2 linked regions of the Saccharomyces cerevisiae S288C genome follow. The gene in region 1 interacts genetically with each later gene. Each region holds a gene or a part of one and is shown on either strand. Other genes may lie near its edges.

Region 1 (16,210 bases):
TTTGTCAAGGTAAATGTTAGCAACTTATTCACCCAAATCGACGTTAAGTTATTAAAACCGTAGAGTGAATGGTCCGTGAACACAGTTCTCAATCCCATAGTATTAGCATGAAGAATTCCCTCGTGAGCGAACGTGGAAGCGCTACCATGAGAATGAACAATTTGGATCTGCTCTCTGAGAAGAATATTCCTTATTATTGGAAATGTTGAAAAAACAGTGGGGAAAGTGGTTTCTCTGAAAATCACAAAAAATGGTACGTGATAGACCTTTAGACCGTTGGTAAGATGTCGTACGCCGACTCGATCTTTGTAAGCGTGAGTTATAATGACGACAGAATGGCCCAAATCGATTAGTTTCTGCGATAAATGATATATATGGAATTCGACTCCACCTAACTGTGGATAAAAAAAGTCGCACAGCATCCTATTTTCATTGTTATAACTCTCAACTTTACTGGTTAGTATCAACAACAAAAGAGATCTTCTTTAATGTATTTGGAACACATGCTGTGAGCTAGACATACGCTATATTGAAGCCCATTGTTTTATATAATAATGTTAGAGTTAGCTAAGCTGTAGTTTATAGTATCTCGTATTTTTGCATAAGTTTTTTGAGGCTATTACTGGCATCGATTATTTTTAAATCGTATCAATGAAATTTTCTAGCTCGACAGTCTCGGGTTGCAAACGAAAAACTTAAAATAGCAGAATGAGATTATTCAATGAAAAGACCCTGAGATTTTTTTCAAGCTGTTATTTTTGGTATACATTGTATTAGACAAGTTCGCATATGAGTATACAAAGGATATGGTGAATACTAGGGGCTACACTACTCTTCCGAATGTTGAAGAACCAGCAAATAACTCACAAGATGAGCTAAACTCGCAGGACTTTGAGCAAGCTATAGGAATGCCATCAGAACCCCCGGTATATGTGGAAGAGATGGGGATGGAAGAACCGCAGGCTCCGGAAGCCTTTAGTGAGAAAGTCCAGCGATTTCGTATGTGTTTTGAAAATAACGTGGTGATTCCAGTAAAGAAAAATGTAGTGGATCCGCTAGCACAAATGATTTCCCTGGCCTCTGAGAAATTCGATTTGTTCTTAAGTAAAATAGGTAATGTTATGGTAATGAGGAGAATATTTTACATCATGATGATGTCTATCATTGCAGCGTTGATTATTGCGAGTGATAGGTTACCGAATGGAAAAGCTCGAGGTTCAAATGGATCATTCTCGGACCATGATCTCCTTTTACAGTATGCTCGGAAATCGATAGACCTTTCAAAGATAGAAAGAGATTTAGAGTATATTAGTAGTATGCCCCACATGTCAGGAACAAGTGGTGATGCCGCTATTAGACATTATATTAAAGAGTCGTTCGACAAAAATGGTATAAGGCTAGCTGGGGAAGAGGAGTTCATGGCGTATTCGAATTACCCAGGAAATGTCTCACTTCGTGTATATTCAAAGGATGATACAGAAGGGTTTGATATTCCCTTAAATGAGGAGAACTTTAACCCAATGAGCCATAATGGTCAATTGAACAACATACCGGTGATTTATGCTAATAAAGCATCGTTGGACGATATGGCTTCTATGCAAGATCAAGGGCTTTTAAACGGTGACTTTATTTTACTAGTGCATTACGGAGATTATGTTTTCCAACAAATGTTGACTGCTCAAGAATATGGTGCGAAAGCAATTATCTTTATTTCTGAGCCTTATCAAGACAACAAAGACGTGATACAAATGAAGTCAGTTGCGTTGCCGCAGTATGGTACTGGTGATGCACTTACGCCTGAATGGGAAGGATCAATAAGAGATCCTATCGATGCTACGGAAGCCAAGTGCCTACCCAAAATTCCATCCATACCGATATCTGCCAATCAAGGAGATAAAATACTAGCTATATTATCAGACACTGGCGTAAAGTTTTCTAATAATTTATTCAGTGGGTCGCTTAACGATTGTCGACTTGACCTACTAGTGCAAACAGCAATTAGGGAACGCCACCCGGTTCACGATATAGTTGGTAAAATTGAAGGATCGGAACAAGCGGGCAGGGCAATTGTTATTGCTGCACCGAGGAACTCTGCTAGTTATGGCACTATGTATCCTTCTTTTGGAACCGTCGTTTTGCTGTCTCTGATCCAATTATATCAAGAAATGGTTTACAAATTTGACTGGAAGCCTCTAAGAAATATATATTTCATTTCCTTTGGGGGCTCTGAATTTAATGAAGCGGGAGCCACGGAGCTGATGGAAAAGAGAACAGAGGCATTGAAGAGTGAAATATACACCATTATCGACGTCGGCCAAATCGGTATATGGGATGATAGTAACAATTTAGAGATACAATGTCATCCGCTACTAGTAGATCTTTTTCAAAAAAACATGACAAGCCGTAAATTTAACGTTAAAGTGGATAATGTTCACCAGTTCGGCGACTGGACGCCGTATCTAGCGCAAGGGATTCCAGTTGCGATCATTTCATCTCCAGGAGTCATGAATAGAGAACATCCGATCTACACAGTAGAAGACAAATTCGATTTCATCAAAGATAAACTAAGAGACAAAAAGAAGGGAGAGGTACTTTCTGAGATAATGCTATATCTTGTCGAAAAATCACTCGAGCTCATTGACGATCCATTCATCCCATTCAGCATATCGAACTACGTAGATTTCCTTTCAACTACGTTAAAAGACCTCCAAAAAGAATGTCCTGATACGGTAAACTTTGACGAAGTCTTTTTGGGCACAACATTGTGGGAAAACACTAAACTGCAGTTCGAAAAATGGAAAAGCGAATGGACAGAGCTTATGTATGGAGCCGGTACATATATAGAACCCACTATCATTGCCATTAATCGTTGGTCATGGAACTACCTACTTTCCCTAATAGGCGTTACCCAATGTTTGGAGGAAGGGTTAATGGATAGAACCTTTTACAAGAACGTTATCTTCGGGCCAAAACTCTGGGTCGACAAAGGTGACCCACTTCGTTCATGGACGTTCCCTGAAATCAGGGACACTATTGCAATCAAGGACTGGAGCTCTGTGCAGGTTCAAGCTAACACACTCGGCACAATTTTACAAAATACAGCACGCTATTTTCTTGAGAATAAAAACCTTCATGGAATAAACACGAACGAATTTTAGTTATCGGTTGAAAGAAAATTACACATCGATTTATGCAGGCAATCAACTATAGTATACACAACATATACTCCTATGACTTGTAGATTTCTTGCCTAGGAAGACTAAATACGTTTAATTCTAAGATTAGGAGCCCATGCATTTAAAGTTGCTTTTTGCCTGTGCGGGACAATTTTATTAGTCAGTATGGACATCTCCGCGGGGAATTTTTTTATCGGCAGAGCTGTTTAGACAAAGGATATAGATAGTATAAGGTGTTAGTACACACATTTCAACATAGTTATATTAGGAAGATTGCCACAAATTTCCTCTTTTTTTTTTTTTTCTTGTTTTTATTACACCTCCGCCCCTTGAATACCTTAGAGGTTAAGAAGTGAAATGCCAAGAGAAAGCCTAATAGGACACACAGTATTTACCACGGGAAAAGCGCGGGATATTTGAATCAGCTGGAGATTATTATGTACGCCATGTATATTTTTAGAGACGGCTTGTAACGGGTGCCAAGATATTCCATATTTTTATGTCTCAAAAAGGAAGAAAAGAGCTACGAGCACGTGCAAATATATGAACTTCAACACCTGTAGAAACTCGATAGTGAATAAATCAATCACAGTGCTTTCCTTGAAATAAGCTTCTGTCTGAACTTTAACAGTGATTTTTTTTTTATAGAACAGGCCTTTTCATCTGCAGAGATATGTCTAGTCTCGTAGGTTTTGACTCGTAACTTTGACTTCTGCATCTGGATCGTCAAAGCAACCCATACTTGACTTGATTACATTAGCATCAAAGAAAATCGTGCCAACGCCTTTTAGTCATGTCGAACGGTAGAGGAGGAGAAAGAGGGAGCTATCAAATTTAAAATTCGCAAACAAGCTGTTGAGAGCGACATAATAGCAATATTGTCGGGCCCCTTAAACACGTTTCATTAGTGTTTTAAGTGCCAAGCCAATGTGTTAGTAAGCTTGTAAAGGAATGCACGTATTAGAAAGTGAGCAACTTAAAAGTGAGCAAATATGATTAAAGTAGTATGCCTCCGAAGCTCGTCTTGTACTGCAAACTAAGCACAGAATATGCCGCACAAATGTCGGTGCCTATTATACATATGCTTTTCGTTATGTGTCTTAACAGACCTGACCGTTAACGGCAACAGAGAAAAGGAGCACTACCGACGGCTTTTTGCTTCTGGCCTATTTAGTGCCTGAGAATTTTGTGCGTGTTTCCTAGTGTCCGGCGGGCTTGACCTAGTCCACACTTCCAACAAGCACAAGCAGCGTGCTTCCTCACACTGGCGAATGCACCCAGAGTCGGCGTTGCCCGAAGTAAGAACCCTACCGCTACTCTGGCGCAGGCGCAGAGGAGCCACAGCCCTTTAAGACGCAAAAAAAGTAAAGCGGCAAAAGAAAAAACTGTCACTTTCGGACCGTTGGGTTATCCACGGGGTTTTCTGAGCACTCATGATCGGTAGCGGTATATTTCTGATCTCGCTCATTTTCTGTCAAATCGTCCTGATAATGGACGAAGACTGTACGTAAAGGGCAATTTTAAGAGACACAAAAGAATCCCACGAGAATTACTACTGTTGATTTTTGTGATTGGCTAGATAAGAAACCTTATCCGCTCACGCGCGTATTACTTCCTTCTTCGGATTCAGATTTCTTTCTGTGGGAACGGGTCATTTCTGCCATCTTACGTCTCTCAGCTTTTCTCTTTTGTTGAACCTTAATTTATTCATGTACATCAAGCTGTAGTTTGTTTTTTTCTTTTGGTAATTAATTTTTGTCCTTTTGTTTTCTTACAGCGTGTATATATTAATGATTAATTTTCTATGACTGATTTCGTCGCGCCCGGCGTTTTCTTGTCTCTTAATGCCTCCTGTTTCTGTTAATTGGTAAGATTATGTTAAATTGGTCAAGATATATACTAATACAATTTTTTAGTTGATCTTCCCACCCTTGTTTTCAAGCGATACCACGCCTATCCAGTGCTACTGATCGCTACTTGCCGAGCCCCTACTTTTATGCTAACAACCTTCGAGAATAGTTACATTCGAAGATGAATTATAACTGCGAAATACAAAACAGGAACAGTAAGAATGTTGACAATCAAGTCAGTCTACCCCCTATCCAAGTTCTATTTAACTCCATAGAAAAACGGAGTATGCCCGAGTTGGCATTTTCGAACATAGAATACTCGCATGGGAACCTTCGGTCTAGTACCGAGGAACAAAACTATCCTGCGCCTGTGTTACTTCCACAGCATCATTCGATTGCGTATCCCGCAATTAATTCTGGCGGTACTAGTACTACTGCTACTCCTACTGCTTCTACAGTTGAAACGTCCAAGACGAGTAGCAGTGCTATGGATACACAATCTCAATATGGCAGTTCAAAGAAGTCAAAATCGGCGTCCGATGATGCAAAGCCCTGCTACAAATCCGCCCCAATATATGAAATAATCAATAAGGAAAAGGATGCGGGGGCACAATACAACAGGCCATTTTCGGATTTTGTAGAATCTAAATCAAGGAGGAAGCAAAATTCGGGCAGGAGGTCTAACCTGCCAAAGGAAACAGTGCAGATACTGAATACTTGGTTGCTGAACCACCTGAATAACCCCTACCCAACTCAACAAGAAAAGAGGGAGTTGTTAATCAAAACTGGGCTAACCAAGATTCAACTTTCTAATTGGTTCATAAATGTGAGAAGACGCAAAATATTTAGTGATTACTATACCCTGGTAAACTCAATTCCTAATGACAACGCGAATAATACCCCAGTGGAACGAGTTCAAAACGTCTCAGCATATCATAACACATTATCTGCCACAAATAATACTATGTACGATGCTACGTCAACCTGCTCCACGGATTATGAATTATCCAAGAGATTTGCTCATGCCCCCGTTACACGCCGTAAAAAACTAATTGATAGGCTGGAAGAATTGAAAAAGCTATCCAACCCTGATATGAATTGATCACTTATCAATGCATTACTTAAATATTCATATAATTATATCTATTACCATTTACATTTTATCGTTACTATATATAGTATTATCATGTCATTGAACGTGTTACGTCTATTATGTTACACTGATTTTTTTTTTTTTTTTTTACATAACAGCATCATGCAAGCCTTTAAAAATAATGTAGGTATGTATATATACAATAATATATATATATATATATATATCTGTGTGTAGAATCTTTCTCAGATATAAATTGATTGATTCTACTGAGGTACGTAGTTATCATCTTCTCTTTCTTCATCGAAACCTGGTCTGAAAGTACCCATTGCATCAGGAGGAGGGATATAATTATTCGTATTAGATTGTGAGCTACTGTTATCAAATCTGGAATGTGGTACGCCGACACGCTCTGCAAATGGAATGGCGAAGCCACCTCTGGATGCATCAAAATCGAACCTCAATTCATCGCTGACTTGACCACCGCTCTTACCACGACCAAACTGTCTTCCATCTTCAAAACCAGGATCTAGATCAATGGTAATTGTCTTTTCGTCTAACTTTGTATCGGACAAATATTTTAAGGCATTCAATGCTTCATCTGGACAACTATATATAATAAAACAGAAGCCACATGGCGTGAACTTAAAACGGTCCAAACCCATAATTATTCTTTTTATTGTGCCACATTTACTGAATAATTCGTAAATTTGTTCTTCTGATGTATAAAAGGAAAGATTTCCTACATAAATTGTGGATGACTTCATCGACTCACGCAGTTCTTGTAGCCCGTTAGGGTTTCTTCTAGCCTTGCGCAGCAGGTACCTTGATGGTGTATCTAGGCGTTTAGTTGAATGATCATATTTAACTTCGTCAAATTCTTCCAGGGACATCTTTCCCTTTATTTATTGGTATATTAATGGATGCAACTTTTATTCGATATTAGTCCTTTCGGGACTTTAAAAGCTGTCGAGACACTTTCTCCATATAAACTCATGTTCTATATTCATACATATAATATTTTTCTTGAAAAAAACACAAAAACTGTTAAAGCGGGTAATACTTTGATAAGCACTTATTAACGTTTATACCATACACTACTTCATACACCAATTACAAATCTATTAGTGGTATACTTTTACTGTAGACAATGTGGATTTTGATGTAATTGTTGGGATTCCATTGTGATTAAGGCTATAATATTAGGTATATAGATATACTAGAAGTTCTCCTCAAGGATTTAGGAATCCATGAAAGGGAATCTGCAATTCTACACAATTCTATAAATATTATTATCATCATTTTATATGTTAATATTCATTGATCCTATTACATTATCAATCCTTGCGTTTCAGCTTCCACTAATTTAGATGACTATTTCTCATCATTTGTGTCATCTTCTAACACCGTATATGATAATATACTAGTAACGTAAATACTAGTTAGTAGATGATAGTTGATTTTTATTCCAACATTTACTGGTACAATAGGTGTATGATATTTTCCCAAAGTTTAAATTTATATAATATAAGTGGCTTGTGCATTAATGCTCTTGAACGAAACTGGATAACGAAAACTGCAAATACTTGTAGTTTTAAACAGACACTTTCTGGGATAGGTCTATCAGCGAAGCTTGGGAATGTTTCGCCAAATTACCTGTATCCTTTCATGAGCGTGAGCAGGTTTAGGTCATGGTCACATCTTATTATATAAATTCTTTCAGAAGATTGTCAATTGTCCATCTATCGCCATAGATTATCTGAGAGCGAAGTTCCATTATGTCTACTAGTAGAAAATAATTTGAAGTTGAAATATAATAGCATTACAAAATTTTTTCTTTATATAGTCCGGTCTTGAAGAAGGATAACAATATTAAGTGTATGAAGACACAAGAACTTTTTCTTGGAAATTTGGATTTTTATGGGAGGAAACCTACAGCGGCAATGTATAATTATGATTAGTTCATCCTTTGCTGCCATCTGTTCGCAATTATTCATGCAATTGTATGATTATTGTCAGGCATTTCAACTTCCGGTAGATTCGTTTGTAATAATAGGTGAATTTTGTGTTGACATTATCAAACCGTTAAGATAGTGTTAGTTGCCAATTAGCATTTGCCTCGATAGAATGTGACGTTAGTTGTGGTACTAGGAATAAAAGTTGATGGCCAAACATTTTTCCTGCACATTTCCTTCAGCGTTTTCAGAAAAGAGAATTTGAGTAAAAATATTTTTGATGTTTAGGTTACCAATATCTCATTAATATAAATTTGAAAACAATGAATTTTGGGTTATACTTGGAGTGCATTTTATTGTGGTTAAAGGCTACAATATTAGCTAAACAGAATGTACAAGTAGTTTTCCTGGAGAATAAAAGAATTCTAAAAGAGAATCGATAATTCTATACAATAATATAGTTATCTCTTCTTTCGTTTATGTACTGTCGTTCTTGTTTTATTACGTTATTAATCCTTGCAGTGCACTTTTCATGATGACTGGTGACTGTTTCTCAATTTTTACATCATTTTTTTTTGAAAACATGATGATATACTAATAATTTGGATACTAGCAATAAATGCTTCTTGATCCTCTATTCCAACAAAAAAGTAACAAGAGCTTACTGATCTTCGGTTTTTATTTTACCTTATCCCAAATATCAAATTGAAATATACCGATTGTTTTAATCCGTTTTGTTGTATATTATCGTAATAATATGCAGATAATATACATATATACGTATTACGCCGATTAGGCTGACACTTTAACAAAATTTTCTGTCCAATTATTGTCCGATATAGTGTAACGGCTATCACATCACGCTTTCACCGTGGAGACCGGGGTTCGACTCCCCGTATCGGAGTTTTCTTTTTGCTTCCTTCCGCCCTTCCAAGTTGTTGCATAATCTTATCTGTCAAAATATGAACGCTTGAAAACTATAGATTATAATTATCATTTATTTAGCCATAATGGAGGGAAGAATAATATGATTGCATATCAAAGGTAAAAAAAGTCGAGTAAATGACTTATAAACGTAAAAAATATATTGATAAAAGACATAAACGAGGCCATGAAGGTGGGAAAAAAAAAAATAACTGCATAATAATGTTAACTAAATGAAAATAAAATGAAAAATAAAATGAAAAATAAAATGAAAAAAACAAATCATAGGACAAAAAGTTTCCAAATGAAGGATAAGAGGCCTAAAAACCAATGTGCTTTCCAGGCAAAACCAATCTTAGCAACAGCTACACTTTGGTTTTGTATAACTTCTTTTTATTTTTCAATGCACGCGGCTTTAACAGTTCAAAGCTACACATCATACCCGTTGTAACGCTCATTACTGCCCCCCAATTATGAAATTCTCCACAATAATTTGGTGCTGAAAAGATTGTGACAAACTTTTTCCTGGCAAAGAATTCATAACCATCTTCTACGACCATATGTCCCCTAAGTATTAAATCGAATTTAAACTTAGCACAAAAATCAAGAACGTTCCTCTTAGAAAATGTGTATGAAACACCACGATCATTTTCTGACCAATCAGTTACTTGAGGGTCTGGGTCACTCCACAGTAAGTCTGTAACCAGCCCGCTTTCAGGAATATCCGTTGGTCTTGCGACTTTTTCGATTTGCTTCATGTCATGTAAATCGGGCGATATACCTCCATGAACGCAAAAGATCTTATCTTGAATAATTGCTGCTAATGGCAAAGTATTAAATACGTCAACGAACATTTTCCATACTTTCGAGCTCAATCGCCTTTTGCATTCATCATAGAAACCGTACATCTTTGTGACATTAGCAGATTCGTGATTACCCCTTAACATAAAAAAGTTGTCTTTGTACTTTATTTTGTAACATAATAACAATAGTATTGTTTCCAATGAGTTCTTACCACGGTCCACATAATCACCCAAGAACAGATAATTAGTATCAGATGGCACACCAGACAACTTCAAAATTCTCAATAAATCATTAAATTGTCCATGAACATCACCGACAACTTTGATAGGCGCTTGTAATCTCAAAAGAGTAGGTTGATTCAAAAAAATTTCTCTTGCATGATAGCAAATGAGTTGAATTTCCCAAGAATGGAATGGAAAGTTCTTTTTTTTGGACGTTTTTGTAATTTCTCTTGACTCACCCACTTGTAGTAATTTTTCGATCGCAACATCGATATCAAGACCTTCATTTGAAGAGGTATCATGAGAATACCGTCTCAAAAATATAGGCTTCTTGCTACTTTTAGGATTAGGTATCCCAGATGTTGGGGACGAAGGCGCACCAAAAGAACCTGCCTTAACCGAAGATGAAGGAGACTTAACTCTGGACGATAACCCTGAAGATTTTAAAAATGATGAGGTTGATGAGGAAGCAGACGTAGCGGATGAGTAGTAGGAGGAAAAAGAATATGAGGATGGAGAAGAATAATTTGATTCACGATAAGAGGGTGATGTCAGGATATTATTTGAGGTAGTGGCAGTGGTAGTAGAGGAAGTTCTTGCGGTATTGATCAGCTTCGGAGCAGTTGCTGATGAGGATAGGGCTTTAGCGACAGAAACATCGATATCTAGGTACAAGCTCTTCAAGTTTTCATCCTTAGTGTATATTTTCTGTTTATGGGCATTCTCACCAGGAATGAGCAAATTATCATTGCTAGCTCGTTTATTGTTGTTGTTTTTCCCGGCCGATGCTAAAGTGTTGTAATTGTTTATAGAATGTTTATTATTGAATTTCTTGATAGTAGGTAGAGACCTACTATCATCTGGGTCATTAGGTTCGTTACTGTTGAGATCATCTGAAGGTGTAGTTAATTGTTGCTGACTAGAGTTTGAATTAGTTGAGCAATTCGGTACTGCAAAGTTATTATTTGATCTGGACGGGCTTCTTCTCATAAATAGAATATAAGTGAAGGGAAAACAATATCTAACTTGAAAGGAAAATGGACTAAAGTAATAAAATAGGTTTTTTGTAAGGACAAGCTTGTAAATGAAACGTCAGAGACTCGGTAAAACAAGATTAATTTGAATGTAGTGATTCTGACCGATAGTATTTATAGTCCGTGAGGAATACTTACCAAAAAATTGCTAAAAGAATAGACACGTTTAAGGTATATTTACTAATGCCATTTTTTAAGAGATACGGAATCCAGCGAAATCGCTAAATTTGCGGTGGTTGCATTCAACGTTTTTCTTTCTTTTTGTTCGATAATTTATCATTTATTACGTTAACCGGGTTATACAAATACGCCTCGTTAGCTCGTATAGAAGTACATGTCCTTTTATAGTGCATAAACATAGTATGTTCCTTAAGTGTCCAAACATATTCGCTCTCTACGAACTTCGCGTTTTACCTCGAAAGCATTAGCTACTCTTTTAAACTGTGTGCTTCGTGTTGGTTGTTTTCACCTTTGTTGTGGCTGTGTATGCATGTAGCCCACATTTTCCATCCTGCGATTCACTGCCCTCGTAGTCGGCTGCAGAGAGTTAATGACGCGTTGGTGGTGCAAAGTCGTGCTGGAACCCATCGGGCCCCTCAGCAAGTTACGTGCATTCTGTGAAGCAGTGTGGCCAACGCTGTGGTTTGTACTCGTTGTCCTATTCTTGTTGATTGGATTAACATCCTTGTTAAATAAGTAACTTTCGCTTTTCCATATACCGGACAACACTGCCTGAATCTTTGCACTTGCAAGATGTGGATAAAGATCATCAAATTTTTTGTCATAGTTAGTAAAGAGCAAATCGTCCTCATCCTTATGATCTGTATCACTGCTAGAATGTGCGATTGACTGAGCATCGTTATGGCTTTTTTTCCTGATATTATTTGCATTTCCCGTTATTATAGGTTGTACTCTCAACAATGCTTCATCTAATGGGTTGTAAAATCTTTTTACATTAGAGTATTCATGGGATATTCTCTCAAACTCCCTTTTCGCATCAATGTTTCCTGCCATAAAGATAGAGTCACTACCGTCATTTTGTGAACTTAAGTCCATAATAGAATTCTCCCTCTGCAACCATAATTTTCTTTGTGTTCTTGATTCTGCATCAATCCCATCTGATTTAAGGAACTGGGCGAAGCTATTAAATTTGGCACCTGAGTTGGATTGTCTGTTTGCATCGCTACCGGAGTTCGTACTAGATGTAATATGTTCGTTGGACAATGGAGAGGCCGGGGCTGCAGAATTTTTGTTGAGATCGTTGGATCTCAGAAGTAGATTCTGATTACCTTTCTTGTGAAAAATATTATTCATTCTTGAACCATGGAAGCTTTCAGGAGCAGCTCTCCTCAAATTATTGGTTAAACTCGATATGGAGGTCGAAAAGTTGTGCTGTGGTACATTATTATCTTTACTACCGATGTTAGCAATGGTGGGGAAAGTAGACTGAGAGTTCGGTATATTTTGGCCAAGTTGAGATCTTCCACCATTTTTCTTGCTCTTGCGCAATTTGCCATCATCCAGTTCATTAAAAGTATCACCTGAAGCCATATGCTCACCCGAGTCATGAATTTCATTCCCAAGCGAATTTTGGATGGATGATGAATTTTCAAATCTACGTTCAACTCCAGTCGACTGGGAGAGAATCATATTAGGCGCATAATTTTCCAGTAAGCTATGCCCTTCAATATCCTTGGTACCAGCGGAAGAAATATCATCAGGCTTGATTAGATCTTCTTCTTCGTTTAATAATTTGTGTTGTTTAGAACTTTGTCTCCTAAGAGACATAAAGCTCGAGTCGCTTTTTCTTGATGAATTACTCCTAGGGGCATCAATGTGATCTTCCTGATCAAACTGTTCATCTGAATGACTTGGTTTTTGATTACTTTTATGTGCAGCTAAGGTATTACCAACATCAAGAATTTTTTTTTCTTTATCATATGGTGCTTCTGATATATTATCGCCCGCTTTAACCAATGAGGCCCTCAAATTTTGAGAATGGCTGGACAAGTCATCAATATCAGCTTCCTTCGTCACCTTTGATTGCCCCTCTTCATTGATTACACTTGTTGCATTCAGTTTTGTTTCAATTGAGCTTGGAGATGTTTCTCCATCTTTCTGATGTTCTATAGAATGGCTTGATTCTCCGAAATAGTTATTGGAAGATAAATGAGGTAATGGTAAGGATACAGCTCTATGATTTTCCTTTCCATCAGTACCTGATTTATCTTCTTCTTGTTCATCTATTGAATCCGGGGATTGTAATTCATTCTGATTTAATTGCTGCACATTCTTTTTTTCTTCAGGCATAACATGCTCGGCTATTACTTTATCATTATTCACCTTTCCATCTTCAATGTTGTCTTCCGAAAAACATTCCACCTCCTCGTCAGTAGTAGATTCACTCTTTTTAGATTCTTGCGCATCTCGAAGACTCAGAACAGATTGGGTACTTTTACTTCTTCGTGGTTTCAGGCCGAAACCAGCAGTTCCAGTATTAGAATGACTGCTGTTCTTTGGACTGAGCAGCGTATTATGCACCGGACTATGAAAGGATGCTGATCTTTTTCCTTGATTGGACTTTACTCTTGTTAAAGCTGTCATATTCAACCCACTAATCGTTCGCTTTCTGAAAAGTGCATCAGAACTCTTGCATTTCTGAGAAACGTTGTGCTTATTAAAATAATCATTATCCAGGGTGCCATCATGTGTTAAAACTCTACGCAAACCTTTGAAGCTTGCGTTACTCTTTGCTCTCGACCTAGTCGAAAACTGTCTAAATGGCTTTGACTGGTGTGATACTGTTGACGCATTAAGAGATGTTACATCAGTGTCTGACTTCAAAGTCCTTCCTCGATGAACCATAATTATAGTTACTCAGTAAGGATATATGATATATCCCAATATCTATGTTTACCTGACCCGTAAATCGATAGAATGTGCTAGTCCATTAGATGTTTGGATTCCTTAATCATCGTGCCAGCCAAATCGCTATACCATCCGCAACTAGCTATCCTTGCGGTTACCCGTACAAGAGTAAGCTCGGTTGATAAAAACAACGTTGAATTAGTCGTTTTTATATCCATATAGATGTATATATATGTATAGATGTGTTTGTTCGCCTCATTACAGTTATACTTTGGTTGAGAATAATATTGCAGTGTTTTGCGTTTATTGAATGGCATTAGTGTTATTTGAATATTTTTTCTCCCATAGTAGTAACTCTCTAGTCAGGTCGTCCATCATTGATAGACTTTCATTATAACCGTTGTAAATCGTATCAACTTTTTCTACGAAATGCTGGTTTTCCACGAATCGTACAAATTCCTCTCGATCAGACTGATCTTCACTCAATTCCCATTGAGTTCTAGAAATGAACTCCAAAATAGCGGATACCCTTCTTCTCATTTCGTTTAATGAGGTCCTTTGAGGGGGTAATCTGGGCTTTACTGGTTTGTCGGTACCTATATCAGCACTCCTTCTATTTTGGTTGGTGTCTGAACTTGTATTGCTTCGACGAGTTCTGTTGCCCTTTCTTGCTGGTTTGGAAACTCTTTTAGAACCCCTCGAACTAGCTTTCCTTGAATCATCCTCAGAAGAAGATATTGAGGTTAGGGGTAGGATGGGTTCATCAGTTTTCTCAGTGTCTTGCGCCGAACCCGTAGAAGATTCCTTTTCTTGACTAGCTTCTTTTTCCACATCATTTGTTTTTTCCATTGATTGCTCTTTCGATGGTCGTAGGCTTTCTTTCATATCATCATTTGTTACCGAGTCCGGTTTGCCTTCCGTTAGCATAACATCCGTTTGTAATCGAGTGGTGCCGTTGTGATTGTCGGTATCACCTTGGTATATATCAGCATCATTTTCATAACTTTCAGGATCTTCTTGATGTGATGTCCTCCTGCTTTCTTTCAAGGCTTTTTCAAGCATTCTTTGATATTGCTTTTCTTCTCTTGCCATGAAAGTTGCCCTTTTTCTATCCAGTAGCTTCTTATCACTATCTCCAGGATCCAGTGAATACTGATCGGTAGAAGCATCATCCATTGAATTCCTCCTCCTCCTTCTACTTGACCTCGTGTTGCCGTCCTTGGCTAATGCTACAGCCGAAGCTTCATCTTCTACTTCATCTTCTTCGTCGCCGATATCGTCGACGTTATCATCGGTATTGCTGGTATTTCTGGGACTTTTCTCTGCTTCATTGGCGGCATGAGATTTACTTGCAGCTGCACTTCGTGCCTTCCTTCTTGATTGCCTCCTTTTCTCTTGCACAGGTTTATAGATTGACCTTGCTTCGCCAGTATCTGTGGTAAAGAGCTGATGTAACTCCGGTCTGCATTGCTCGCACCAATATTTATCAGGTGCGTTGTCTTGAGTAATACTCACACAATAACCGTGCTGCCAGGAACTGCACTGCTCACATTGAATGAAAAATCCGGAGTCATCTGGAGTATCGAGCTCTCCACAGATACAGCGAGTTTCGCCTTCCTCTTCCTCGACTTCCCCCTCTCCACCTTCCATAGGAACATCTTCTTGTTTTACACTTTCTTCCTGTACACTTCCAATCGCCGCCGTTGTTGTCGCTGTTGATGTTGTTGATATAATGTCTGTGGACCCACTAGCAATGACTTCCGCTTTCTCCATATCTTCACTACCCACAACAGGGCCTTTAGGCACTATTGCTGTCGATTCCATTACTCTTCTCTATACTCCTATATGTTTATGCTATCTTTTAGTAAGGTTACGCAAAGTAAACTTCGAAGGAAACAAACTATTGATGGTCTCTGTTGTGAACTTTGTACCCCTGTAAATACCCAGTTACATAAAATTCATATACGAAAACCAACAAGAACAAAAAAGAAAAAACTAATCAACAAAACGTTATTTTTTGATCATGCAGTGAAAAGCCACCAATAGAAAATTGAAAATAGAAAATGCAGCTGATTGTGCTGTGCGGTTTACCTAGTTTACCCATAGCGGAGAAATTTTTCAAAACTAATTGATTACGTTAAAGCCTGTCTGCGACGTGCTCCGTCCTATTTCCGCAAGATGATGAGGGTAATGCCCTTTATAACTGCTCAAAATAAAAAATAACCGCCGAGGTCTTTTTAATTATCAAGGTTATAAGAAGTGCCAGAAGTGGGTGAACTTAACTC
Region 2 (17,212 bases), on another chromosome or scaffold:
TGAACTACCAAAGACCAACTACGTCTGGTAAGTACGTCAATTTATCGCTGGTGGCAAATCCTTCTCATTTAGAATCCCAAGATCCAGTTGTTCTTGGTAGAACTAGAGCTTTATTGCATGCCAAGAACGATTTGAAGGAAAAAACAAAGGCCTTAGGTGTGTTATTACATGGTGATGCTGCTTTTGCTGGGCAGGGTGTTGTTTATGAAACCATGGGTTTCTTGACCCTACCAGAATACTCTACTGGTGGTACTATTCATGTTATTACAAACAACCAGATCGGATTCACTACGGATCCAAGATTTGCAAGGTCCACACCATATCCTTCCGATTTGGCTAAGGCCATTGATGCCCCAATTTTCCATGTTAACGCTAATGACGTGGAAGCTGTGACCTTTATTTTCAATTTAGCCGCAGAATGGAGACATAAGTTCCACACAGATGCCATAATTGATGTCGTTGGTTGGAGAAAACATGGACATAATGAAACCGATCAGCCATCGTTTACTCAACCATTAATGTACAAAAAAATTGCAAAACAAAAATCTGTCATTGACGTCTATACGGAAAAATTGATAAGTGAAGGCACATTTTCTAAAAAAGATATTGATGAGCACAAGAAATGGGTATGGAACTTATTTGAAGATGCTTTCGAAAAGGCAAAGGATTACGTCCCATCTCAAAGAGAATGGTTAACTGCTGCCTGGGAAGGATTCAAATCCCCAAAGGAATTGGCCACTGAGATATTACCACATGAACCAACTAATGTTCCAGAGAGTACTTTGAAAGAACTAGGTAAGGTACTCTCTTCGTGGCCAGAAGGTTTTGAAGTGCACAAAAATCTAAAGAGAATTTTGAAAAATAGAGGAAAATCTATTGAGACAGGTGAAGGCATCGATTGGGCCACCGGTGAAGCATTAGCGTTCGGTACATTGGTTTTGGATGGTCAGAACGTTAGGGTTTCCGGTGAAGATGTAGAAAGAGGTACATTTTCTCAACGTCATGCAGTCTTGCATGACCAACAATCTGAAGCCATTTACACACCGCTAAGCACTCTGAATAATGAAAAGGCAGACTTCACCATTGCAAATTCCTCGTTATCTGAGTACGGTGTAATGGGTTTCGAATATGGTTATTCGCTAACCTCCCCAGATTATCTAGTCATGTGGGAGGCTCAATTCGGTGACTTTGCAAATACAGCACAGGTTATTATTGACCAATTTATTGCCGGTGGTGAACAAAAATGGAAGCAACGCTCTGGTTTAGTTTTGTCTTTACCCCATGGTTATGATGGCCAGGGGCCAGAACATTCGTCTGGTAGATTGGAAAGATTCTTGCAACTAGCCAATGAAGACCCAAGATATTTCCCATCTGAAGAAAAGCTACAGAGACAACATCAGGATTGTAATTTCCAGGTTGTTTATCCAACTACGCCTGCTAATTTATTCCACATTCTAAGGAGACAGCAACATCGTCAATTCCGTAAACCATTGGCGTTATTCTTTTCTAAACAGCTGCTGCGTCACCCATTGGCCAGATCATCTCTTTCCGAATTCACTGAAGGCGGATTCCAATGGATTATCGAAGATATTGAACATGGAAAAAGTATTGGTACGAAAGAGGAAACCAAGAGATTAGTTTTGCTGAGTGGCCAAGTGTACACTGCCCTACATAAAAGACGTGAAAGTTTGGGTGATAAGACCACTGCTTTCTTAAAGATTGAACAGCTGCACCCATTCCCATTTGCTCAGCTACGTGATTCATTAAATTCTTATCCAAACTTGGAAGAAATTGTTTGGTGCCAGGAAGAGCCATTGAACATGGGTTCGTGGGCATACACAGAACCACGCTTACACACAACATTAAAAGAAACGGATAAATATAAGGATTTCAAGGTCAGATACTGTGGTAGAAACCCAAGTGGTGCTGTTGCTGCCGGTAGCAAATCACTACATTTGGCCGAAGAAGATGCCTTTTTGAAAGATGTTTTCCAACAATCCTAAAGATGAATTCAAATATGAAAAACATGAAAATACAGCCATATAAACACGTAATATTTTTACCTTAATGTTTATGGACAGCCTTTTTACTTGAAGAATGATCTAACAAATATTTTTTTTGATACATTCACATTTTTTTTTTGTTCATGATGTTAGCATCTGCTTAGTCTTTTTAAAATTATTTAATTTAACGTTTTATTTATGTGAACCTTTTTTTATTAGTTGTATTTACTATTTATTCAAGAATCATTCTTTACTTTATATTGATATCGTTTTTTTCCCCCTACTTCCTCCTCTGGTGTATTCACAGCTAGGTGCTTCTCTTGTCCTCATCCGGTGGAGAAAAAAAGTGAAAAATAAGTCAATGGAAAGGGGGAAGGGGGTAGGTAAATAGAGTGAATAAGTTTTATTCATCATGCCCAACTTCTATTAATATATACTCAATTCAAATATTGATCAGGATTTCAAAGAGTATGTCGGAGTTACAGTCACAACCTAAAAAGATTGCCGTTGTTACAGGCGCCTCAGGTGGTATTGGATATGAGGTAACGAAGGAATTAGCCAGAAATGGCTATTTGGTTTATGCATGTGCAAGAAGACTAGAACCAATGGCACAATTGGCCATCCAATTTGGTAACGATAGTATCAAACCATATAAGTTGGATATTTCCAAGCCAGAAGAAATTGTAACATTTTCTGGTTTTTTGCGAGCTAATTTACCTGATGGTAAATTAGATTTATTGTACAACAATGCCGGTCAGAGTTGTACATTCCCTGCATTGGATGCAACAGATGCTGCAGTAGAACAATGCTTTAAGGTCAATGTGTTTGGTCATATCAACATGTGCCGTGAATTGTCGGAGTTCCTTATTAAAGCGAAAGGAACCATTGTCTTCACTGGTTCCTTGGCAGGAGTTGTGTCATTCCCCTTTGGTAGCATTTATTCCGCTTCTAAAGCTGCTATCCACCAATATGCTCGTGGGTTACATCTAGAGATGAAGCCCTTCAACGTGAGAGTGATTAACGCTATTACTGGCGGTGTGGCTACTGATATCGCTGATAAAAGGCCCTTGCCTGAAACCTCAATATACAACTTCCCTGAAGGTAGGGAAGCTTTTAATTCAAGAAAAACCATGGCTAAGGACAATAAGCCCATGCCAGCTGATGCGTACGCAAAGCAACTGGTTAAAGATATCTTGAGCACTAGTGACCCTGTAGATGTTTATAGAGGAACGTTCGCCAACATCATGCGTTTTGTCATGATATTTGTTCCTTACTGGCTATTGGAAAAAGGACTTTCCAAAAAATTTAAATTGGACAAAGTTAATAATGCTTTGAAGTCGAAACAGAAGAATAAGGACGATTAGTGTTTCACCATCGTCAATAGCTACCTATATTTATATACAAGATTCCGTATAGTTTGTACACCACGTCAGGACATCAATAGCTAATAATCGTTCTAATGCTAATGTTCAACTGCTCTTTAAGTATTGTTTACGTCTCGTCGTACCAGTATGCCAAATTCCTGTCACTTCACTCATTCTCTTTGCTCTTACCGTTTGAAACGCGCTGGGACGGAATTCGCTCATTTCGCATCGTGCTTTGTTGTTTTTTTTTTTTCAAAATTGCCATTGTTTATTTATAAACTACATGAAATTATTCTGTATTTATCTTCGCATTCCCTCTCTTACTTCAAAAGTGAGAACAGCATATTCAAATATATATATCTACTCAGTTGAATAAGACACTATAGCAAGACCATTTGAACTGAAAGAAACAGTTTCTTTGCTCCCCTCTCGAATTCCAACTATTTACAGTCCTTCCTTTATAAAAATTAACTAGCGAGCAAGAAAACATTTGTTTAGTGCTACCCAACTACTTACATTCCTTTAAAAACCACAATATTTAAGTTAACCTGAGCTTTATTTTTAGTAAGTTATTTACCACAATTTTTCTCATACACCTTTACAATCCGTATTGCCATGAATACCAAGGCTTGCTCAGCTTCTGCAGCAGTTCAACCCTTTCCAATACCGCCAATGCGTCCTCAAAACGTTAGTTTAGTCGTGCTCAACCGCTATTTTTGGTTTTATCTTCGTTTCTTTCTCCTGAACGACATTCGTCACGAAAATTGCGGCGGAAAATTTCCTGATGCGGACACTTTTTCCCGATCCGGACATGCCTTTTTTTGGCGTTTCGCGTCAGTCAATAGAAGTTTCAGATCTACATTAGGAAGAACCAGAAAATAGCCATTAATGCTTTCAGCATAGCACAGCATAGCAGCTGTGTATATCTTAAATAAGATGTAGACTGGTTTGCATTTGGAAAGGTTTTGTGTAAGAAAAGCAATACTTGAGGTAAAACAAGAGAAAAAAAAACACTTTACTAACTAATATCCAATCCTTTATTTTTTTGCAGAAATGAAATTCTCAACTGCCGTTACTACGTTGATTAGTTCTGGTGCCATCGTGTCTGCTTTACCACACGTGGATGTTCACCAAGAAGATGCCCACCAACATAAGAGGGCCGTTGCGTACAAATACGTTTACGAAACTGTTGTTGTCGATTCTGATGGCCACACTGTAACTCCTGCTGCTTCAGAAGTCGCTACTGCTGCTACCTCTGCTATCATTACAACATCTGTGTTGGCTCCAACCTCCTCCGCAGCCGCTGCGGATAGCTCCGCTTCCATTGCTGTTTCATCTGCTGCCTTAGCCAAGAATGAGAAAATCTCTGATGCCGCTGCATCTGCCACTGCCTCAACATCTCAAGGGGCATCCTCCTCCTCCTCCTCCTCCTCGGCAACTTCTACCCTAGAAAGCAGCTCTGTTTCTTCATCTAGTGAAGAAGCTGCTCCAACATCTACTGTCGTGTCAACTTCTTCCGCAACCCAATCTAGTGCTTCTTCTGCCACTAAATCTAGTACTTCTTCCACTTCACCATCTACTTCTACTTCTACTTCCACTTCTTCTACTTCCTCTTCCTCTTCCTCCTCCTCCTCCTCTTCTTCTTCTTCTTCTGGCAGTGGTAGTATCTACGGTGATTTGGCCGACTTTTCAGGCCCAAGTGAGAAATTCCAAGACGGCACTATTCCATGTGACAAATTCCCATCTGGTCAAGGTGTCATTTCTATTGACTGGATTGGCGAGGGTGGATGGTCCGGTGTGGAAAACACCGACACTTCCACTGGCGGTTCATGCAAGGAGGGGTCCTACTGTTCCTACTCCTGCCAACCAGGTATGTCTAAGACCCAATGGCCATCCGATCAACCATCTGACGGTAGATCTGTCGGGGGTTTGTTGTGTAAAAATGGTTATTTGTACCGTTCTAACACTGACGCGGATTACTTATGTGAATGGGGTGTCGAGGCTGCCTATGTTGTTTCTAAACTAAGCAAGGGTGTCGCCATTTGCAGAACCGACTACCCGGGCACTGAAAACATGGTTATCCCAACCTATGTTGAAGGGGGTAGCTCTTTGCCATTGACCGTTGTTGACCAAGATACTTACTTTACTTGGGAAGGCAAAAAGACATCTGCTCAATACTACGTTAATAACGCCGGCGTCTCAGTTGAAGATGGGTGTATCTGGGGTACTTCTGGATCTGGTATTGGTAACTGGGCACCATTAAACTTTGGTGCTGGCTCCACTGGTGGAGTGACATACTTATCATTGATTCCTAACCCAAACAACAGCGACGCATTGAACTACAACGTCAAGATAGTTGCTGCTGATGATTCATCCAATGTCATCGGTGAATGTGTTTACGAAAATGGTGAGTTCTCTGGCGGTGCTGACGGGTGTACCGTCTCTGTTACTTCCGGTAAAGCTCATTTCGTCTTATACAATTAAGCTACGTGACTACTACTTTTCCTTTTTTTTTTCTTTTTTCGAACACATCTCACCCCCTATACCTCACACAATCACTATGGTCCCCTTTTCTTTTTACCGATATTTATACTGTCCACCTTTTTCTTTTCGTTAATGGCCTCAATGTTTCTGTACCATTATCCAAGTGAACTTGTTAGACGACCAAATATAGCCAAGATTCATTACGATTATCTTTAACTAGCAAGTAGTATTCTTGGATAGAGAGATTTTCAAAGACGGAACAATTTTAAATAGATTTACATAAGAAAACACATACTGTCCGATACCCATAAGAAATTTAAGAACTCTTTTCATCTTCAGCTTTCCGGCCTCCTTTTACTGTAGCCTGTTCCTAGACAGCTAAAAATAGTACATATGCAGCTCTGCAATAGTCTCAAAGGGGATATTGTGTAGGTTTACGAAATCATCACATTTCCGAATCAGGACATGAAGGCACAACTTTCCGCACGTAGTGTTTTCAGCCCCCAGCGCCTGTCGGCGCGAAGAGGATCTGCGGAGATGAGCTTTGCCCCGCCATTACCCGTAAAATATTACTGTTTTGGGCAATTGTGGATCAAAAAGGGAAAATGCGGATGGTGAAAAAAATTTTTGGAAATTTACTGCTTCAGATGGGGGAACTTTGTAAGTTCTTCCTTTTTTTTCGTAGAGGTTGGAAAATTCAGAGTGCTAAGAAATTAAAAGGTATGCACTGCCTATTCTCATAAAAGCAAAAGTGCACAAAAATAATAAGGTGTGAAGCAATAGTAGAAAAGACACTGGGAACCCAAGGTATCTTATTTTAACAGATAAGTAAAACTAAGATCAAATCGCGTACTGATATCACTTAAGGTTCGCGTATTTTAAAGGCTACGCAGAAGAGGAAATAAATTGCGTGCAATCCCTGCGCTTAACTCATACAAAAAGGCGCAAAACATTTCAAGAGTCCCACGATTAATTGCAGAAATTGAAAAAAAATAAGTAAAGACGAAAATCAAAGTGGATGCCATATTATGAAGCAGGAGCCACATAGACAATCCGAAGAAAAAGAGAAGCCGAAAGGACCAATGGCTGTTGAACGAGAGCAGCATACCTCATTATCTTCTGGTACAACCGTGACAGCTAGTACAGGAGACGAGAGTACCAACAGTAGACCAGTGGAATCATCGCAAACAGAAAAGTCTCTATCGCTTCGAATAAGAATATTAAAACAACTTGGGTTTGACGATATTCAAGAACTAAATGCATGCGACACTGGCCTAGTGGAGCAATTTTTAAACGTACGATTGATAAACGACACAAAAGAACTAGAAAAGATACGCGAGTCAAATCTTGCGAAACTAAACCAGATTATTGATAAATGTATGGAAAGTGATAAAATAAGTGATTCGACATTAAACAAGATTCTTGATATGTCCATGAATAGAGATACAAATAATGATAACAACAATCATCTTACGATACCGTCTCCGATAACGACAAAGAAACGCAAGATAAACGCCTCCGAACTTGCAAGTCCACGAGGCCATAGAAGATATAGATCTGATATACCTACAGTGTCAGAAGTTGAGACAGGGGTCGGATACCCTCAAATACACCAGCAACCAGGCGCATATACTTTACCTATGCCTGCAAATCAGTGGATGAGCAACCCGTATATGCAACCTCCGCAACCACAAGTGCAACAGATAATGCCGCAGTATTTATATCCACCAGGGATGGGACCACAAGCTCAGCTTCCTACAATGAGCTCAAACTCGGAGTCCCAGACACCAGTGATGAGCTCACAGTTTCTTTCCTTGAACCAGCATGGCCTTTACCAACAAAATATAGGTGCTCATCCGGTAATGAGTATGGGCCCACAGGCAAATATATACGGGCAGCAGCACCAGCTGCAACCTGGTCAGGAACGAGACCAGTCAAGAAAAAGTTTTAGTCATAGAAGGTCACAAAGTGCCAATATTTCCATGGCAAATTTTAGGTCGCCCATGCGAAATCCCCAGCCGGCTTCGTCCCAAAGGCCCGTCAATTTTCTCATTCATACACCAAAACATCCTCCTCCCACATGACGTGCAGTAATTTTCATTTTTATCACCTAATTTCTAAAACTATATCCCTTCCTAACCTTCATTCGATGCATCCGTCCACCTTACTTCAGTTCAAAAAAAAATATATATCCATATATATGCTACAGTGTTATTATTACGATTTCTTTGCCTTTACTCCTTATCTCATTTCAATCATGAATAAACAGGATATTGATAATATATGCTGTCATTTTGGATTCAGTCTGCTTAACTGTCTTGTCCACCCCCGGTGTTCTTACCCGTCTGAGCGGTCGTAAGACGGAGGTAATAATTTTTCAGCATCCTGACCTCCCCCCCAAATCTGTGCCTTTCACCACATTTTTCTCGAGAAAATGTGTCTTGGCTCAGATGATGTCGTATGAGCTACTGGACTTTTTTTTGTTGGCCCTGATGAAAATAGTAATGGCGGTTACAGAACAGATAAACGGCGTCACCATCTTTTCCTAGATAAAGAAGCAATCTCTAGATAATGGGGTATATAAATATACATTGTAAAAACGGCAAGTCAGTTGCTGGTCATTTTAGTAGAAACTCTGCTCTCAAACTTGAGTACTGCAACGATGGCAGGAGCAACATCAAGTATAATTCGGGAAAATGATTTTGAGGACGAGCTTGCGGAGAGTATGCAGTCATATAATAGAGAAACTGCAGACAAATTGGCTTTGACTAGGACCGAGAGTGTAAAGCCAGAACCGGAGATAACCGCTCCGCCTCACTCACGCTTTTCCCGTTCTTTCAAGACAGTTTTAATAGCTCAGTGCGCTTTCACTGGGTTTTTCTCCACAATAGCAGGTGCCATCTACTATCCAGTTCTGAGCGTTATAGAAAGAAAATTCGATATTGACGAGGAATTGGTGAATGTCACTGTTGTAGTATATTTTGTATTTCAGGGTCTTGCCCCCACATTCATGGGCGGGTTTGCCGATTCACTGGGCAGGAGACCGGTGGTGCTTGTCGCAATCGTCATTTATTTTGGTGCCTGCATCGGTCTTGCTTGTGCTCAAACGTATGCTCAGATCATTGTGCTAAGATGTCTACAAGCCGCCGGTATTTCACCCGTGATTGCGATTAACAGCGGAATAATGGGAGATGTTACTACTAGAGCCGAGCGCGGCGGGTACGTTGGATATGTTGCTGGATTTCAAGTTCTAGGTTCTGCGTTCGGAGCCCTTATCGGTGCCGGATTATCATCTAGATGGGGATGGAGAGCCATCTTTTGGTTCTTAGCAATTGGATCTGGCATTTGCTTCCTAGCCTCGTTTTTAATTTTGCCAGAAACAAAGAGGAACATATCCGGGAATGGTTCTGTCACCCCAAAATCATACTTAAATAGAGCTCCCATTCTTGTTTTGCCAACAGTAAGAAAATCATTGCATTTGGATAATCCAGATTACGAAACATTGGAACTGCCCACGCAACTAAATCTACTGGCGCCCTTCAAGATTTTGAAAGCTTATGAAATTTGTATACTTATGCTAGTCGCTGGATTACAATTTGCCATGTATACTACGCACCTTACGGCGTTATCCACAGCTTTGAGTAAACAATATCACTTGACTGTTGCAAAGGTAGGATTATGCTACCTTCCCTCCGGTATCTGCACATTATGTAGTATTGTCATTGCTGGAAGATATTTGAATTGGAATTACAGGCGCAGATTAAAATATTACCAAAATTGGTTGGGCAAGAAGAGATCAAAGCTTTTAGAAGAACACGACAACGACCTTAATTTGGTGCAACGTATCATAGAAAATGATCCCAAATACACCTTTAATATCTTCAAGGCGAGGTTGCAACCCGCATTTGTTACCTTGCTTTTAAGCAGTAGCGGATTTTGTGCGTACGGATGGTGCATTACTGTCAAAGCCCCTTTAGCGGCCGTTCTTTGCATGAGTGGATTTGCGTCGCTGTTTTCCAATTGCATTTTGACTTTTTCAACAACTCTAATAGTTGATCTTTTTCCCACGAAGACATCTACGGCTACGGGATGTTTAAACCTTTTCAGATGCATTCTATCTGCTGTGTTTATAGCTGCATTGAGTAAAATGGTAGAAAAAATGAAATTCGGAGGTGTTTTTACATTTTTGGGGGCTTTAACCTCCTCGTCATCGATCCTCTTATTTATTCTCTTGAGAAAAGGTAAAGAATTAGCCTTTAAGAGGAAAAAGCAAGAACTGGGAGTAAATTAAGAAGTAAAGCTTCTTGAATCAAAGGAAAATGTTCCTTTTGATCGCTCCACTACCGAGAAAGAGGAATTGGTGTGATAAGTCTTCTCAAATAGAAAGTAATAGTAAGTATTTTTTTTTTTTTAATCTGAACTCTGTAATAACTAAAATTAGAGTTAGCAGCACGATTCACTAACATAGAACGGCTAGTACTGAGTTTTGCCTTTATTATTCTCCGCCATTTTTTGCCAAGGCCGAAAATATGCTGGAGGTGCGAAATTCGGAGATTCGGGTTTCATGTTTCTGGCCCGGTTGTTAACGGACCCTTTATCTCATCTTCTGATCTTGGAGTTTCTTCTAGTTGATAAAACCATGGTGAAGCTGAAAGGTTTGAAGAATCTCTATCACTGTAGCAAAAAAATCTTCTTACAACAAAAAAAGTAAGCAAGCAATCAGCGTTCAAAGGAACTTATTCTTGCTTAAAAAAAGTGATAATCTCTTAGCACTACCATCTTCTATTAATAAAAAAATAACAGATAGCTCATGAAGAGACTTCTATAAGTAAATCATGACCAAACAACAAACTTCTGTAATGCGTAACGCATCTATAGCCAAGGAAGAACGTGAAGGATCTGATAATAATAATGTGGACAGATCCAGCTCAGATGCCATCAGTGACAACGACGCAGAAAGATCTAATTCTCATTCTGAAATAGATAACGAATCAAATTTTGATATGGTGCCTTATTCAAGGTTCAGCCATAAGCAAAAAATGCTTCTTGTCGTTCAGTGTGCCTTCACAGGCTTTTTTTCAACCGTGGCAGGGTCTATCTACTATCCAGTGCTTACTATTATTGAGAGGAAATTTAACATCACAGAAGAGTTAGCTAATGTCACTATTGTGGTTTATTTTATTTTCCAAGGGGTGGCTCCTTCAATTATGGGTGGTTTAGCTGATACATTTGGAAGGCGGCCTATTGTATTATGGGCAATCTTAGCCTACTTCTGTGCCTGCATCGGACTGGCATGTGCACATAATTACGCCCAAATCCTGGCTTTAAGGTGTTTACAGGCAGCAGGTATTTCTCCTGTTATTGCAATAAATAGCGGAATAATGGGAGATGTAACGACAAAAGTAGAGAGGGGTGGATATGTTGGATTGGTTGCAGGGTTCCAAGTTGTTGGAACTGCATTCGGTGCATTGATTGGTGCCGGATTATCCTCGAAATGGGGTTGGAGGGCAATTTTTTGGTTTTTGGCTATTGGTTCCGGAATTTGTCTAGTTTTTTCAACCTTATTGATGCCAGAGACAAAAAGAACTTTGGTGGGAAACGGCTCCGTAACACCAAGGTCATTTTTGAATAGGTCTTTGATATTGCATGTTGGTTCCGTAAAAAAAACATTACATTTAGACGATCCTGACCCTGAGACCTTAGAACCACGTACTAGCGTGGATTTTTTAGCACCTTTAAAAATTTTGCACATACGAGAAATAGACATTTTATTGTCCATTGCCGGCCTGCAATTTTCCACGTGGACCACTCATCAAACAGCCTTAACAATTGTATTGAGTAAAAAGTACAATCTATCTGTTGCAAAAATAGGCCTGTGCTTTTTACCTGCAGGAATCTCGACACTGACAAGTATTATCTCTGCTGGTCGGTACTTAAATTGGAGCTACAGAACAAGAAAGGTTAAATACAACAGATGGATTAAAGAACAAGAATTACAGCTGATGGAGAAATATAAAGGTGATAAAAACAAGGTAGCAGAACTTATTCACTCTAATTCTCATTATGCATTCAATTTAGTGGAGGCAAGGTTGCATCCAGCATTTGTGACACTTCTTCTCAGTAGCATTGGCTTTACTGCCTTTGGATGGTGTATTTCGGTGAAAACACCGCTTGCTGCTGTATTATGCACAAGTGCATTTGCAAGTTTATTTTCAAACTGTATTTTGACCTTCTCTACTACTTTGATAGTAGATCTCTTTCCGTCTAAGGCTTCTACCGCAACAGGTTGCTTAAATTTATTTAGATGTCTCCTATCCGCAATTTTCATTGCAGCACTGACCAAGATGGTCGAGAAGATGAGATATGGAGGTGTTTTTACGTTTTTGAGTGCTATAACTTCATCTTCATCGCTTTTATTATTCTATCTCCTGAAGAATGGGAAACAACTATCGTTCGATAGGATTAGGGCAAATGATAAGTCGGCTGGAAGGTCAGTTGGTAAAAATTCAGAAAAAGTTTCGACGTGAAGAAAAAAAGTCGTAAAACTAAAAAGTCTCTGCCCCCACTTTCCAGAAACAGATATCTATATTTTATAACAAAGACGTACGGCATCATTTAAAGTATCTAAAATTTCTTTGAAGAGATCACATAAAAAATTTTCACCTTCTTTTTCTCTTTTTGGCTGTCCAAGTAAACAAAACATAAACTGCTTCAACCAAAGATAAAACTTGAGAAAATCCAAAATGAACAATAAGGACATTTCTTGGTGACAGATTCGTTAAGTTTCATTATTTTTTTCACTTATTTTATAGAAAAAAATCGGATGTTGAATGGGCATAAATATAAATGTATATATAAGTAATATTGTCTTGTTTCCCTGGAGAAGTAAATGAAAAATGAAATAGCATACAAAACAGACATAAAATTTAAAACAGAAATGAAATGAGCATTTAAAATTAATTAAAAGGTGAAACGACGAATTGAAAATTATTGATGAGGGTGAAGGGAAACAGGGAATGTGCTAGAATTAAAGGGGTAGAAAATTTATGGTGGAGACTTCCCGATACATACTTTAATGTTGTTGCATAAAATTTTCTGAGTCTGAAGTTGACATATTATGCAACGGTTTATTTTGTTGGTAAAATTTATGGTTTAATTGCTTAACTTCATTTTTTAAGCAGTTTACTTGTTCCTTTAAATTTTCAATAGTGTTAAACATTGTTTGCCACATGTATATGACATCTGTAGAGAAAACTGGGGAAATTTGTTCTTGTTGTGCATCGCGCGGTAGCTGTATAGGCATTGTTTGCTGGAAAAATGGCGATGGTGGAGTTTGCAGGATTAGATTGTCTGCCGGTGCTGATGACAAAAGGGAAAATTGAGCCGGGCTAATGAAGGATGGTTCTCCTTTGGTATCCAAAGCTGGCAAAGATTCTAATTTATCGAGGTTGATACTTGACTGAATATGCTCTGGTGTACTAAAAACATTAGTACTATGATTACTATTCCTATTAATATTATTGCTATTATTATTGTTGCTATTGTTACTATTGTTAATATTATTATTGTTATTGTTACAATTATTATAATAATGGTTATTAATATTATCATTAGTACCATTCTTGTTCGGCTTCAATGTTTTTTGCGACTTGAGTATAATGTTTCCGTTTACAAAACTAAAAGTGTTTTGTAACTGCACTAGCAAATACTGCATTCTAGATAATTTTGACGGATCAAAATTTAAGTTTGAGCCTGCCTCTTGTTTTGATTTTTTTTTCTTTTGCTTGGATTTCTTTGATGGATGCACTTTCAAAGACTTTGTGTATAAGACTTTAAATCTATCATGACATTGACGAGAGTTTCTCTCGTACCCATATTGTTGGAATAGGATTTTTGAAATTTTTTTCCAAAAATTCTTCATAGGCTTGAAATATTCTACGAATGTTAGTAATTGAGAATTATTCATTATTGTAGTAATGAATGCTATATCCTCAGGCTCTTTCCATTTTTTCCTTATCTGTCTTGCAGACGAGGAGGATGAATTAGAGTTGTTTAGCTCATTTTCGTCAATAGAGCCTGAGTTGGAGTTGGAGTTCGAATTAGAATTGGAGTTCGAATTCGAATTTGAACTGGAAATTATTCTTGGAGTAACTAAAGAGCAGTCCGAACCCGTTTCTTCATTAAAATTTGAAGTAATGGGTGTGTTTAAATTTGGTGAATAATCAGGGAAATTTTTGCTTATAGTGCTAGACTCATCCATTAGGTTCAACTTCGGTTGAAGATATTCCAAGTACATTTTATAAATATCAGTAATAAAATGATGAGAAAAAAAAAAAAAGACTTAAAAAAAAGGACTGAGAAATAGTTAAACGAATACGATAATATGATATACTACCATGAACTGTAGTCTGGATAACCAAACGGAAAAAAAGGAAATACAAAAAAAGTCAGATTGTAAGGAAAAAAAAAGAGTAGTTTCAGTATTACGAAAACTATTAGATCTTTCTTTAATTTGAACAAGAAAACAAGACTATAAAAAAAAATACTCTTTAGGATGCAGACATAAAAGAACAATACGACCGTCCCTTATTTATATATAGTCCATAGAAATAATCTCAACCAATATAATATGCAAGAAAATAACGAAGTAAGGAACAAGCACAATGGTACGCCCGGTCTTGAAAAAGTTTAAAACAGTACTCGACCCTAGGCGCTAGGGTGGGTGACGCATTTTAACTTTGCAACAGAATGCCATATGCGGTGTTAACCTCACAAGATCGGCTCTACTATCTGCAAGCTGCGGCAAATACCAGAGAAAATTCCATTCCCGTCGACAAAATTTAACCGACCCCCCCCCCCCCCAATTTACGTTTATCAGCTAATCCAAATGTGGAAGGGCAACATTCTCGACGACTCCTTTTTCCGTAATTTAAGTTTGCCCAGGCAAAATCTTATACTTGTTTTCGTAAGAGAAAGATGCGCAGATCCTTTAAGGTTACCTTCAAGCAAATCCAGAAGCACAAATGGCAGGGGAGAAAAGACATGAAGCAGGAGTAGTCAACCGCAAAAACCCCCGCGGGCTTGTTGTTCTGCACATTTTTGATGTGTTTGTTCCTAAGACAAAGTCCTAACTTAGGGTAGTAAGTGACTATATTCTGCACGCTCTTAAAGCAGCCACCTCGTTTAATTTTGCATGCTTATATAAGCTTATAAACGAAGTACCTGAGGACCTGCATCGGCCGGCCCATGTGAAAAGGAAGTATTTACTTTTTCTTCTTCTTTACTATGGAAATAGCTGGAATCCGACTATGCATATGCGTAAGAAAAGAAAATGAAGGAGTTTTCACAGGAAAGCACACTTGCATACTGGGCACAAGTGAGGAGAGGGGCCTGTAATGCTTCTGTGTTTAAAAGACTCCGAAATTAGTCAACGCAGATTTGCAGATGCACGCAAGAATACATAATCAATCACAGTAAGCACATCTCCCCAAGGAAAGAGTAAATGCCTTCGAGCCAGCATTGTGGTCATGCGAGATGTCTAAGAAAAATACTTCGATAAGCACGAGGAAATGTAATATGTCTATCTACCTTATTTTTTTTACAATAAACATATAATAAATCCCTTATCTGGTCACGTGAATTAAACTTCGGGTGTGTTGTAAGAATGGAAGGAGTAAGCGAAACTCAAATTGAGGCCACTTACCACTTCCGGTCGAGCCCGGCCCAGAACCAGTCGTCGGCCAACTTTTTTCTTGGAACAGCGTTACCGCACCTACGCGAGAAATAGTAGATTATAGATAAGAAATACAAGGAGAGGGGTGTGGATGAGCTTTTTTACAAAATAGTGTAAGGCGTCCGGGAAACCCCAAGAACGTTTTTTGACATCCACTAACAGGATTACCCGTCATAGATATACTGGTGCCATTACCCGTTAATGGCATCTTGTATATTTCTTTTATCTTTCTTAACATTCCTGAAAATTGGTAAACAGTAAAAAGAAAAGAAAAAGAAAGAAAAAACATGTATTATTTTGAATTTACTGGAAAATAGGCAACCATTGATTTTCGTTTTTTTATCGTTCTCATCTCTAGCTCTGGTCAGCATTTTTTACTTTATAACAACAAGTTTTTCATTAAAATCCATAGTAGCACAAGGTAAAGGGAAACAAACATGTCATTTCTATGTGGGTCAGCTTCAACGTCAAATAAACCGATCGAAAGAAAGATCGTTATTTTGGGCGACGGTGCCTGTGGTAAAACTTCGTTGCTGAATGTTTTCACCAGAGGTTATTTTCCCGAAGTTTATGAGCCTACTGTTTTTGAAAACTATATCCATGATATTTTCGTTGACAGTAAACATATCACGCTATCGTTGTGGGATACTGCGGGCCAAGAGGAATTTGACAGGTTACGATCCTTGTCTTATTCAGATACGCAATGTATAATGTTATGTTTCAGTATTGATTCACGCGATTCTTTAGAAAATGTCCAAAATAAATGGGTGGGTGAAATCACTGATCATTGTGAAGGCGTCAAGTTAGTCTTAGTTGCACTAAAGTGTGACTTAAGAAACAATGAAAATGAATCTAACGCAATCACACCGAACAATATCCAACAGGATAACAGCGTTTCTAACGACAACGGAAATAACATAAATAGCACCTCAAACGGCAAAAACCTGATAAGTTATGAAGAAGGTCTAGCTATGGCTAAAAAGATCGGTGCGCTACGTTATTTGGAATGTAGCGCTAAGCTGAATAAAGGTGTCAACGAAGCTTTCACAGAAGCCGCAAGAGTTGCTTTAACCGCGGGCCCAGTAGCAACCGAAGTGAAAAGTGACAGTGGATCCAGCTGTACCATTATGTAATATAATAAGACACGGACGCACACACAAAAGAATAGAACCCAAAAAGAGAGACTAAACAAATAATATAATAAGTTATAGAAGTTAATAATACTCCTACTATTTTATATTTTTTATGTAATTACTACCACTGCTTAAAAAAAATATTGCAAAATATCATAAAAGTTTTTACTCATCCTGTTCTTTCCCCTCCAGCATGTGCTCGAGATAAGTCGAAGGTGTAGGTTTTCTTTTGGACTGTACGACCAACAAATTACCCTTACTATGGTTACGATTTACGCTACCATCACTTTCTGGTGAATTAAGCAGCTTTCGACTTGGTGAAGATGCAATTTTTGCGGGTTTCCTTATGTCTTCACCCACCTCCTTTTCATTACCGTTATCGAGCGACGATGCGGATGATGAAGAGATTGTAGACACCAGAGAATTTGTAGATACATTATCACTTGTCATAATCACAGGTTTCTGTAATAATCTAGGGCTTTCTTGGTAAAGTTT

The links.
Region 2: mutations in CUP9 (region 1) and QDR2 together harm fitness more than expected from each alone (negative genetic interaction), as found in Saccharomyces cerevisiae (2 studies listed by BioGRID).

The regions. Positions count from the first base shown.
Region 1 is NC_001148.4:202,960-219,169, reverse strand, and holds CUP9 (Cup9p), read left to right. Parts: upstream 1-5,207; coding exon 5,208-6,128; downstream 6,129-16,210. Other genes in the region: phosphatidylinositol N-acetylglucosaminyltransferase SPT14, read right to left, coding at 1-423, 524-540; TRE1 (Tre1p), read left to right, coding at 807-3,158; nuclear cap-binding protein subunit CBC2, read right to left, coding at 6,386-7,012; PPQ1 (protein-serine/threonine phosphatase), read right to left, coding at 9,364-11,013; TCO89 (Tco89p), read right to left, coding at 11,523-13,922; CTI6 (Cti6p), read right to left, coding at 14,229-15,749. UniProt on the Saccharomyces cerevisiae protein: Probable DNA-binding protein which plays a role in protecting yeast cells against copper toxicity. May regulate the expression of important copper homeostatic genes.
Region 2 is NC_001141.2:123,731-140,942, forward strand, and holds QDR2 (cation transporter), read left to right. Parts: upstream 1-8,513; coding exon 8,514-10,142; downstream 10,143-17,212. Other genes in the region: alpha-ketoglutarate dehydrogenase KGD1, read left to right, coding at 1-2,003; AYR1 (acylglycerone-phosphate reductase), read left to right, coding at 2,474-3,367; putative glucosidase SIM1, read left to right, coding at 4,421-5,851; POG1 (Pog1p), read left to right, coding at 6,880-7,935; QDR1 (multidrug transporter), read left to right, coding at 10,687-12,378; RPI1 (Rpi1p), read right to left, coding at 12,924-14,147; Rho family GTPase RHO3, read left to right, coding at 16,022-16,717; pheromone-regulated protein PRM5, read right to left, coding at 16,883-17,212. UniProt on the Saccharomyces cerevisiae protein: Multidrug resistance transporter involved in resistance and adaptation to quinidine and to the herbicide barban (4-chloro-2-butynyl [3-chlorophenyl] carbamate). Implicated in potassium uptake.